3 linked regions of the Nothobranchius furzeri genome follow. The protein of the gene in region 2 interacts with the protein of the main gene of each other region in a pairwise test. Links are inferred from orthologs where the notes say so. Each region holds a gene or a part of one and is shown on either strand. Other genes may lie near its edges. The genes, in order: prkacab, cAMP-dependent protein kinase type II-beta regulatory subunit and taf12.

What was found.
Region 1: the proteins of cAMP-dependent protein kinase type II-beta regulatory subunit (region 2) and prkacab interact in binary tests that used the Homo sapiens proteins (3 or more experiments, as listed by UniProt). The link is inferred for Nothobranchius furzeri from reciprocal best matches to the Homo sapiens genes PRKAR2B and PRKACA.
Region 3: the proteins of cAMP-dependent protein kinase type II-beta regulatory subunit (region 2) and taf12 interact in binary tests that used the Homo sapiens proteins (3 or more experiments, as listed by UniProt). The two-hybrid records come from large-scale screens. The link is inferred for Nothobranchius furzeri from reciprocal best matches to the Homo sapiens genes PRKAR2B and TAF12.

What each region holds. Positions count from the first base shown.
Region 1 is NC_091744.1:6,143,410-6,147,672, reverse strand, and holds the start of prkacab (cAMP-dependent protein kinase catalytic subunit alpha), read left to right. Parts: upstream 1-1,330; 5' UTR 1,331-1,554; coding exon 1,555-1,600; intron 1,601-4,263.
Region 2 is NC_091744.1:62,300,398-62,303,334, forward strand, and holds the end of cAMP-dependent protein kinase type II-beta regulatory subunit, read left to right. Parts: intron 1-354; coding exon 355-456; intron 457-554; coding exon 555-629; intron 630-716; coding exon 717-785; intron 786-861; coding exon 862-997; intron 998-2,135; coding exon 2,136-2,269; 3' UTR 2,270-2,406; downstream 2,407-2,937. UniProt on the Homo sapiens protein: Regulatory subunit of the cAMP-dependent protein kinases involved in cAMP signaling in cells. Type II regulatory chains mediate membrane association by binding to anchoring proteins, including the MAP2 kinase.
Region 3 is NC_091745.1:72,393,523-72,397,798, reverse strand, and holds taf12 (transcription initiation factor TFIID subunit 12), read left to right. Parts: upstream 1-1,450; 5' UTR 1,451-1,626; intron 1,627-2,267; 5' UTR 2,268-2,420; coding exon 2,421-2,498; intron 2,499-2,614; coding exon 2,615-2,692; intron 2,693-2,919; coding exon 2,920-3,034; intron 3,035-3,208; coding exon 3,209-3,297; intron 3,298-3,423; coding exon 3,424-3,459; 3' UTR 3,460-3,865; downstream 3,866-4,276. Other genes in the region: si:ch211-79k12.1 (roundabout homolog 1), read right to left, coding at 1-70, 516-567. UniProt on the Homo sapiens protein: The TFIID basal transcription factor complex plays a major role in the initiation of RNA polymerase II (Pol II)-dependent transcription.

The sequences.
Region 1 (4,263 bases), about 56 Mb from region 2:
AACAGCAGCAATCAGAATTGGATGCACTCCGAATGCAGCATTATGTAAACATGCAGCAGGGTTTAAGAGCTAAAAATAAGCTGATCAGCTGCAAATCGATCTGGTAAATATTGCCAAACATCTGCTTGTTGCATCTTTATTTAATTTGAAGAGCTGCCACTTTTGCCTAACGTTGACAGTCATTTGGCATGGTTTTACAGCACCTGAGATCAAATGTGGAAAAGAATATAGCTGGTTAATTGGTTGTGCTGTAAAAAATGTGGCTTCAGAGTCAAAGTGATGAGGATGCTATGAGATCTATTTATAGATTTGATTTATTTTTTCCTACCAACACAAGCTTACGTTAAATCAAAGGGGCATTCTAATGCAAATCTGCGAATCGGAGCTTTTGATGATGCTGATGATAAAAGGACCCCTGGTCCGCTGCTCTCTAGTCCAGCTGCTGCGGGGTGATGAAGATGAAACACCAGTTTTTAAAATCTTGTTTATTTGTGTTCATTTCTCACAGAATAGCCTGCGAAATGTTTAGATGTCTTTGCTGCCACACTGCGCCGCGCGTGCGTTAAATTCTGACCAACATTTCTAAAAATAGACTCACGGTTGACGTCACTCAGCCAAACGTGTAACAGTCGCTCAGCAGCGGGAAAGAGCGAAGTAGAGGAGGAGGGTATTTATGTCAATCACTGGTGACAGCCAATGGGCGTCCTCGTGTTCGCTGAGATTCCCACGGTCCGTCCGTATCTAGCCAATAGAAGGGCCGGATCACAAAAAGTGGGCGGAGTCGTTGTCGGGAGGAAAATATTCTGTGACGTTGCCCTCATTCGCGTTGTGTTGGGCGGTGGGAAGCTGCTGTTGTTGATTGACGGCTGCAGTTGGCCAATCACAGTAAACTGTTGGTCACCGCTCTGATAAAGTGGCCAATCATCGACGTAAGCACGAGCTGTCATTCAACGCTGGTTTAAGCAAGTAGGCGGGACGTTCGCTCCGCTGTAGTTCCGTCATCTCGCTGGTCTCCGAGGCTACGGGGGCCCGATGTTGATTTGGGTGAATACCTGTCGTTGTCGGACCCCGCTGAGGCTAAAATTTTGCTAAGCTGGTTTTATTGACAACAAGCGAGACGCTTTCGATTGAGAACATTGCTCCCTCTCCGCTGGTATTGTTGTTTTTATAGGCTGGGAGAGGTGGTGGAGAGCCGGGGAGGGGAGCTCCGTTCGGCGGGGGCTGCAAGGAGGGTCAGGTGGAGACTGTATCCTCCGTGTCCAGGCCAGCTGCCTCCGAGCTCAACCCTGAAGCTCCGGCGAAGCCCCAGCTCAACGTGGATTTAAATCCGATGCTGGCCAGCGGCTGCGGGTGACCGTGGGAGGGAGCGAACCCGCTTATCTAACGTGGCGCCGCATTAGCAGCTGTCAGGCTACTAAAGAGCAAGACCTCGGAGTGAACGCTCCGTGCTGCTGCTGGATTCAGGAAAACACCGTCCAGATCGAGATTTGACCGACTTGAGGAGGCTGCAGGGCGGCCGGAACGCCGCGGATTGCCTGTTGACAGGTTGTCATCATGGGCAACGCGCCCACGGCAAGAAAGGGCAGCGAGATGGAAAGCGGTGGGTATCCTGATCCGTTACATCCTCACGAGATGATCAGAGACAACGTGACACGGCAGGCGATGTTAGCTTTACAAAACCTGCAACACAGCGGCCTTTCCTCACGATGCTTTCATTTAATACCATCCACATGATGTCCTCCTTACAAGCGAATTAGGATGTTATTTGACATGAACCCCATACCAGCAGCGATGGCTGCAAGTTCTTCATCATTTCAAATATGTTATTGAGATCTCTAAATAAAACTCAAGATTTCCTGCTACAGGGCATTTAACTGAGGATGCAAAGCTAGAATTAACTGCAAAACAACCACTCTTAAGCTGCAGTAATATTGGCATCCTCACTTCCTCTTGTACTCGGATCTTGGCAAGACTGCAACAAACTATGTGTCAGATATTTCCTGAACACTCTGTGCCTGTTGCTCTTTGGAGGGATGTATTGTCAAGACTTCTTGCAAACATGGGGGGGGGGGGGGGGGGGGGCATTTAGTGTTGATTGGCTAAGGGATATAATTTGGTCTATCAAATAAACAAAAGTATGGAAGCCTACTGATGAGAAAGCGATGGCAATCAAAGCGATTGTGTTTTATAAATCTACATTTTAGGTTGACATTACGTGACTTTTCATTAAGAACCACAACCTTTGTACCTCAGGGCGCAGTAAAAACAACCTGCACATTGGAAACATGAAAAATATACATTCTTCAATATGAAGCGTGAATATTTTGGCTCAGAATCGCTGCTTTGGATGTTATTCTTGTGTGTTGTTGTGCTGTAAGTTTTACTCACGTTTACAGCAATCCTGTTACTAAATAAAACTGGATTTACTTTGACTAATTTGATAGACGATGTGTGGGGCTGGGAAAAAGTATTTACCTCTTTACAGATTTCTACAGTCTTTGCTTTTGGGGTCAAATTTAGATGTTTCAGACTCTGCTAATTTCAGTATCTGATTTAATTCATCAAGGTGGGGGGAAATTGTCTGGCTCTATGTGAAAATAGCCTGCAGCCAGCCGCATGCTTCCTTATGGGAAGTTCTCTGTGTAGAATTAAACAGAGGATGAGTCTGGCAGGCCAGGCTAATGTGAAAACTGTTTAATTGGGGATAACACCTTTGGTGACAACAGCTGATGCAGCTTTAAGGTCAAAGGCTACAAACTCCTTCAAGATTTTCTGATAGAATTCATGTTTGCATCCGTTGCAGCAAGTGGTCCAGGTGCTGAAGCAGCGAAGCCCTAAACATCACACTACCACCACCATGGTTGACCATGATGCTCTTTCACTGACATTTAATTTTACACCAGATTTAATGGGTTGCACACCTTCCATAAAGTTTGAATTTCATTTGGTCAGTCCACAAAATATTTTGCCAAAAGCCCGGGAGATCATGATGCCTTTGGCAAATGTGAGATGGGTCTTAGTTGTGTTCTTTTTTTAATCTGCTGAGGTTCTGGCCTTGGAACTATAAACATGAATACTTAGATGACCCATTGGGCTCTGGGGAGTGTAACAGCGTGCATTCAGGCTTCCAACACAAAATAATGGACACCACCAGTGTTGTTGAGTACTAAAAGAACTTCAACAAAAGAACTTACCAAGTATTCTGTGCACCTAAATAATAGTGACACACACCCCCATCGACAGTTGCCACATACAACCTGAAAAACATTACAAATAAGATGTAGAAACGCCAGGAAAAGTGACACCGGTCAATTTAGGCAGAAATGTTGAAATTTTTAACGACATAACAATTGATAACAACAATAAACAACTACTCGGTTCTGTAAAAAAAAAAAACAGAACATATAAATGAGAAAAAAATAAAGCTGAAAACTACTTCCTGGTAGCACTGGACATCTTAAAATTTGTGATCTTGGGTCCTCTGAAACCTACCAGCTCGCAGCTCAGAATTCTGAGTTTAATGCGTCATTTCCGGTTAACTTACCTCAGAAAAACGAGTTCTGACGACAACTGGAACGCACCACTAATCTCCATTTTCAGTCAATGGGGCTAAAAAAGCTATTTTTTAATCTGCTTTGCCTGACGCCCTGAATTGCACACATGTTGCACTTCAATTTAAATGAAAAGTAAAGATGTGTGTTTCGATCACACCTGTCAAATTTTGAAACGTATGAGTTTGTAAAAATTTGTAATTACAATTACAAATCGGACGTCCCCCCCCCCCCCCCCCCCCCCCGTGTAGCTGCTATTTACCACATGGCAAGATTCATGGTTGTTCTTTCCTACTGAAAGAAGGATTCGAAGCTCCCTTAACCATTTTTCCTATCCTCTTCTATAATGGCCTCCATTTAAAATGATAGCGCAGCCGCGATGTGGCGCGTCTGTCTCCGGTGTGCCCTAAGCTTTAGACACCATAAAGACAGCACCAATCCAAGGGGGGCCTACATATGGTATGTCTGTTGGGTTATAAGCTTGACTCTCCGAAAGTCCAGTTAGAATTGACAAAGTTCATCGGATGAGAAGCGAAACATCTTCAAGAAACCAAAGAAGTCCAGTTGCCTTCATTTGAACTCTCATAATGCAATTTTTTTTTCAGCTTTTTCTTATGTTGAATTATGAATTTTGACCTTAACCAAGCCAGGCCTGTAGTGTTTTAGATGCTGTTTTGTGTTATATTTTCTTTAAAACAGGGCAGGTTATGTT
Region 2 (2,937 bases):
GGTTTCTTTTAACATTTTATTACTGAAATAATGCAAAACGACACGCTAGAGCGCCCCCTATCGTCCCTTTTGACAGTAAATGATTTGCTTACTTAAAGCAGGCTTCTATTGACACCTGCTGTGTAATCCGGTTTAAATGTTTGCGGAGAAGGCAGAGAAACCTGCAGCAGTAGAGGAAATGCAACGTGAGGAGAATGCAGAATTATGGATTGCATCCCTATTTGTCCACAACAGTGTTTTTGTGCTTCCTGGTTTGATTATTGAAAACGACGTTGATTTTTTTTCTTGCAGAAATGTATTTCGTAACAGTGCATGGCTGTGTATAACAAGACAAAATATATACCTGTGTTTCAGGATCGACTGACATTCAGGAGGATCATAGTGAAGAACAACGCCAAGAAGAGGAAGATGTATGAAGCATTTATTGAAACACTACCACTGCTCACATCCTTAGAGGTAAACAAAAGATGAGCTTTTTTACTCAAGTGGCAACAAACTGCATCATGTTGTTACAGTAAAAGTGTAAAAAAAAACACATTTCATTTTGTCGGCAGGTGTCAGAGAGAATGAAGGTGGTGGACGTGCTAACCACTAGGGTGTACAATGATTCACAGCAGATCATTGCTCAGGTGAAGACACTTTAAATTAGTTTTGTGTCTGTAAAATTTGAGTTGCTAGTTTTTGTGCTCAGAAGGTCATATTGTTTTTCATGACAGGGTGATTTAGCAGATTGCTTCTACATCGTGGAGAGTGGCCAAGTTAGAATCACCATGAAGAGAAGCCGGGTATTTATTTATTCTGAGGAAACTTTCATATATAGTTACTGTATTAACATGTGATAACATGTGTTTATCATTCCAGACAAAAACAGACCAGGAGGAAGAGGAGGTGGATATTGCCACATGCACAAGGGGCCAGTATTTTGGAGAGTTGGCTCTTGTCACAAACAAGCCCAGAGCTGCATCTGCCTATGCTGTGGGGAGTGTCAAATGCTTGGGTACATTTTGTACAGTTCTATGTTTTGAAGGGTCATAGCTCATAAATGCTCATAAATACAATTCTGTTGTTACTGTTTTTGAAATATTTTAGCTTGTGCTATTAAGAGTATTTGACAAACCTGATAAATGTTCAGGTCTATTTTATAAATACCCCCAAACCCCAAAATGTGAATTATTGCACTCATTGCTGGAGTTGATTTATACAACAGTTTCACTAAATAATATCTAATAAGTGCTTTAAAATAAAGCACACTAAGGAAAATGTGATGCTATAAACTTAAAATATAGATAAACAAGTTTAGGTATTTTGTCAGTTTTTTCATGAATGTATTTTCAGACGTCTTTTTGAATCCACATACCAAACATATGTTTGCTTTGATAACGTTAAAATGTAACAAAAAAACGTTGGTACATAATAAACATAAAACAGACAAAGGTTTCCTGATTTTGGGATCACCTCAGTTATCATGACAAATGCTGGAGAACACTCTGATGACAGAAAGCTCTCATCAGGTGCACTGCCATATCTACAAGGCGACCAACAAAAGCTCACAGTTTTTTTGCGGGTCTACCCCGGTCACTATCTTTTGTACTCCCAAAGATTCACTTGGGTACTTTCTTTTCAAAGAGTAGTTTCTCATCTTCTTTGAAGTACAAACATCCAGGACTGAAATTGTCTGGAAGCTCGTCTTACTTTCTTATTCTGATGTTTTAAAATTCTATTTAAGGTTCAGTAAAGGAAGAAAGTTTACATTCTTCAGAACAGTCCAGATTACTGCTTATGAGTCGACATCAGGTATGTCCAAAGTGCTGCCCAGAAGGAATTTGATTTAGCTCGGTCTCCGATTGTATTTCTACATTAATTAATTTTGTCTCTCCAGCAGGCTTTTAATGTAGATCAATACTTAAAAAAAAATTACGTTCAGATTTTTAATAGGCCAAGTTTGGACCTATTTTAAGGAGTGCAATAAAAACAAATCACCATTATTTGTTGGTCTTTTAAAAAAAATCCAAATTTTGTGACCTACGACTACTAATTAGATGCTTTTTGACCCTCGTCTTGAAAATGTTTGGACAGCTTTAGTCTACATTATTTAATTTCTGTAAAACAATTCCTTATCCCTTCCTTTTTGTTAGTCATGGACGTTAAAGCCTTTGAGAGACTGCTCGGCCCATGCATGGACATCATGAAGAGGAACATTGCTAACTACGAGGAGCAGCTGGTGACCTTGTTTGGAAGTAGCCCTGAGATTGAACAACAGAATGCATGAGGTGACTCCTCCAATGGACCATAATCAAGATGATACAAAACACACTCATACACAAAAAAGAGGCTTATATGGATGTTTTCCATGTTACTACTTTAAACAAGCTTTTTTAAGAAAACAGAAAACAAGACATGTAAATATCCACCACTCTACATCTGAAACAAGACGTGTTGAGTTTGCAACCGAACGTCACAGCTGCAGTAAGCCAAAGCAGAGTTGCGTAGATGCTTGTTTAATTACATTTGCCATGATTTTCACCCTAAAATATGTGTGCATTTTACTTGTTGGTGCCAAGTGCTTTATTTGTTGGTAAATGAACACTAACTTTCGCTTTTCTTCATAACGGTATAGCAGTAATGCATAATGTGTACATTTCTGATCCATGCTTTTCATGAACTGGGTGCCAAAGCTAGTTACTCTTACTGGATAATTGTGAGCAGATTTGCCTCCTTTGTTTGTCAGCGGAGGTGCAACATGAGAAAAATCAGGACTTTTGATTACAGCAAAATGTAGTTAGCCGTCATACGAAAATACGTTTGTTAGTCATCAGACTGAAATCTTTAAATCCATCCCCATAATTACTGTTAGTACATGTTTGTGGCTTTTTGCCCAATGCTCTGCTTTTTCAACAAAGCAAACTTCAGAAACATAGCTGATAGTTTTGTAACAAA
Region 3 (4,276 bases), on a different chromosome or scaffold from region 2:
GAGAGACACTCAAGCACGACCGGCTCTTCCTCCAGAACAGGCTCAGTTGGCCCTTTAATGGTCAAAGTTGCTGCATAAAAACAGAAATAATGAAGTTATTGATCAGTGAAAGCATGTAGATTAATAAGTTTAAACCATAGAAATACTAGATACTTTGATCACATGACCACAAACAGGTTCCATCTATTGGCGCCAAGAGTTTAAGTTTGTTGATGTTTTTATTTTTCTACTAAAACCCAGTAAACATGAGGTTATATTCTATATACTTAATTTGTTTAATTTTCTGAACTCTGAACATTTGCTGTTTATCTCTGCGTGACGTAAGCACCAGTGTTTAGAACAGATGAGACGCAAACAGGCAAGTAAACACGACTCTGTAGAATAAATCTATAACAAAAAGATAAAAAGTAAAATGAGAAAAACTAAAAGAGTAAAATCCTAAACCAAGCTTCCTTTTACATAAGAAAAAACACACAGCTTTAAAAACAGTTGATGAGAATTAGAAACATATTTACCGAAGGTGCCATGAATCAGGACCACCAGTGAAAACACCAGAAAGGTTTTCATGTCTGTGGAAAATCTTTTCACCACTAAAACTGAAGTCCTGAAGTGCTGCGCAGCTCTAAACTGAAATGAAAGTTTCCTTTGTATTAGTAGATCAGAGCGTAGGTGTGGCTTTCTGTTCTGCTTTTGTCCAGGAAGTGTGATATCAGATTATTAAGAGACTCTGAAAGATCATAGCCATTATTTTCATTTTATGCATGAAAATAAATGACGCGGAATAGGTATGGTTTTGCAACAGCGTTGCTCTAGGGATTACATTTCGGTTATTTGCTCAACTGCGCCAGACAAAGGGACGCTTCGCTCCTCCGCCAATGGTATTATGTAAACTCAGCGCGTCATTTGTATCCACGGGGGAAAGCGCTCAAGGTAGGTTTGAAAGTTCAGGGGTTTCCTGAAGAACTTGTTGTAGTTTTGCTTTTGTTTTACTATTACTTTTTATTTGTAGGGTGACATGTAATACAAAAGCCAAGCCAGCACTATGCGCTTCATCGGCTTTGATCCCTTAATTTGTTTTATTATGTTTTGGCACGAAATCTGGTCATTAACTGATTATGTGTGCACACGATATTTACAAAACAAATAAATTCAATACAAAATAAATTTGGGTTGATAAAAAGCTCATATTCTTCATTAACTTGTGGTTTAAGAGATGTTTCATTTAGCAAATTATTCCACAGAAGTGTTTTAGATTAAATTAGGGAATGTTTGGGGTTTAAAATAGAAATTCTGTTGTAATATATTTCAATTAAGTACAGTTTATTTATATTGTTTGATTGGATTATCACTATTTTATTGGAAAATTGTTCATTTATCTGTAAAATTCAGTAAATCCGTGAAGTTTTAACCCGCTTGTTTGTGTAATACTTTGAATATCCAGCAGGAGGCGACATAGGAACAACGCCTTGACACAGGAAGTATAACCAAGCTAACCGGAAATGCTGAAAAGCACTCGCTCGTTTGTTTTTATTGTATGGAGACACAATTTTGGATTATCTTTGTAACTAAAACACTTAGTCGTTTTTGTATCAAATAAATATGGACAGATAGTGTTTATTTAACGTGGTGAGTATTCGAATTCAGATAATTTTTGAGTGCAGGGTACATAACGTTCTTCCGTCAGATTAGCTGCTAACGTTAGCGTCTGTGGCTAACGTCAAAAATGGATAGCGTTTGTTTTTAGTATCTGGATTTTCTACTTTTTAAATCGCTGCTTTTTTTTTGTCACAGATGCTGAGTCGCTTGCTTGCAACCGGAGAGTTTTAGTGAATGTTACGAAATGTTCTGCTTTTTTGGTTTCTGTCTGTAATTTGTCCAGGGCTAACTCGTTGTTTGACTGCTAATCTAATCAGTCTATGGCGAATTGAAGCTACAGCGAGCTCACAAACACTTTTATTCCACTTCATATTATTTTATGTCAGTATTAGGTTACCTTACATACTTTCAAGCACATATTTTTCAACAGCTGTGCAATGGTCATTGTAACAATCATTAATGGGTAGCAAGTCAGTGGATCAACATTCATCACGAATAGCAGCAATTAAAAACAAATATCTGTGCTGGAAATAAAAAACTGTTATTAATTTGATTTATTGAGAGGAATTATGTCATGGAAATTTCCTTTTAAAATCTGTCACTCTGGTAAAACTTGTGATCAAGCTAACTTCACTTGGGACTGCTGTTTATTTTCTGATTCTTCACCTTAGATTAAAGGCCGTGTTCCTCGTACGAAGGTGATCTATTCTACCTGTGCCCAAGTTGGACGGTCACCCAGGACTGTTGCTTTCTCTGAAGGACTTCCACATTTTGGGCACCTCAGAAACCAGTGGATCCCAGTACGCTTGCCTGTGTTTACCAGCATGGCTAACAACACCCCGATAATAGTGAAGGGTCTGCCCTCGGGTCCTGCAGGTAGAAGCAGCCCAGAGGGCTCTCAGGTTTGTTCCTCCTCTTTGCTGTCTTTGTCTAATGTCATTTTGAATAAAGTGTTTATCTCTAAATAAAAAAACAAGAATTCTATTCTAACACACATTTCTGTGAAAATTTTCTCCAGGTGCTCAGTAAGAAGAAGCTTCAGGACCTGGTGAGAGAAATCGACCCAAATGAGCAGCTGGATGAGGATGTTGAGGAGGTTTGTTAGTGGTGTTCAACTTAAATTTCCACTTTCATACCCAAATCTGCTTCAAAATACACGACTTAAACATAAATAAAGCATTTTTTCTCATTTAAAAATAGTTTAGAAGTCTGATTTCAAGAAATAATGGGGCAATTGATAATAATTATCCTTTTCGAGGTTGAATAGTGTCGCTTGAGTTCTATAAATGTTTTTGAAGGCATCAGAAATGTTTCTCTTCTCAGATGCTGCTTCAAATTGCGGATGACTTCATAGAAAGTGTGGTGACAGCTGCCTGCCAACTAGCACGCCATCGCAAATCCAACACATTAGAAGTTAAAGATGTTCAGCTACACCTCGGTAGGTTTCGGGTAACTTAATTGTAAAATTCTAAAATGAGTACAATTTTGGGACTTTTGCACAAGGAAATCAAACCTAGAACATAATAGCATTACTTTCAAATATTCTTTCTAATGAAATATCGTGAGGTCTGAGGTGACATATTGTCTTCATGTAATCATTTCATGCTTTCAGAGCGCCAGTGGAACATGTGGATACCTGGTTACGGGTCAGATGAAATCAGACCGTTCAAGAAAGCATGCACCACAGAGGCTCATAAACAGGTAAATATGAAAAAAAGTTGGTTTCTGTTAGAATCAATAGTGTCTAAATATTCCTTTCAATATCGTACGTGAGTCTGCACACGTAAAAAAAACCTGACTGAGATCATCTCTTATTTTCTGTTTCAGAGAATGGCGCTGATCCGCAAGACGACCAAAAAGTAGCATCAGACTCTGTTGTTCTGAATGTTTTTTTGGTAATAGACAATGTACGTGGTTTTGACGAGGGGTGTATATCTTTTGAAATAAATCGTTTTTGTCACGTCTCTTGAGACATTTGCGTGCTTTGCCAGAGCACGATAGTATTTGTGTGTTTTACTCTGACGTGTTACCGCTGCGCTACGACCGGCTGAACCTCATTGTACTCTGTTAAAAATATTGTTTGTAACGTCATCGTCTAATGTGGTTAGATTTTTGACACTCTTGATCATGGAGATGATAACCATACTGACTGTGTTTACCCTGCTTGACTTTGTTTTTCCCTTTTCTTTCTCTAAATCAAAAATAGAAAGATATGGTATTTAATTGAATTTTACATTGTCAGAAATAAAGTAATAATACCACGATACAAGTTATGCTTTGGAGTTTGCATTCTCCATGCTTTGACTTGAGTGTCATTCATTTGAAAAGCAAAGAAAATGGATGTTTTATGTGAGTGTAGTTGAGGGTTTCACGAGTAAAAATGTCTCGGTGTCAGGCAATCCCAGCACATTTAAAACTGCATCTAGATGAACGATGAAGTGGTTCAGAGGCTGAGCCGATATATCAACAAATGTGATGGATTCACTAAACACGAGGATGATTTAGGCTGTGGAATAAAATAAAGCAACAGCTGTTAAGTTGTTTTCTTTTGGTGGATGAAGGGTTTATTAGAGGGATCACAATGGCTGCAGGAGCAGTGCATGAAAACAAGTCAGTCACTTGTAGAGTGATGTGCAGTTATTGTTACAGCAAAGCATTTTATTTGTAACTACTGGCCCAA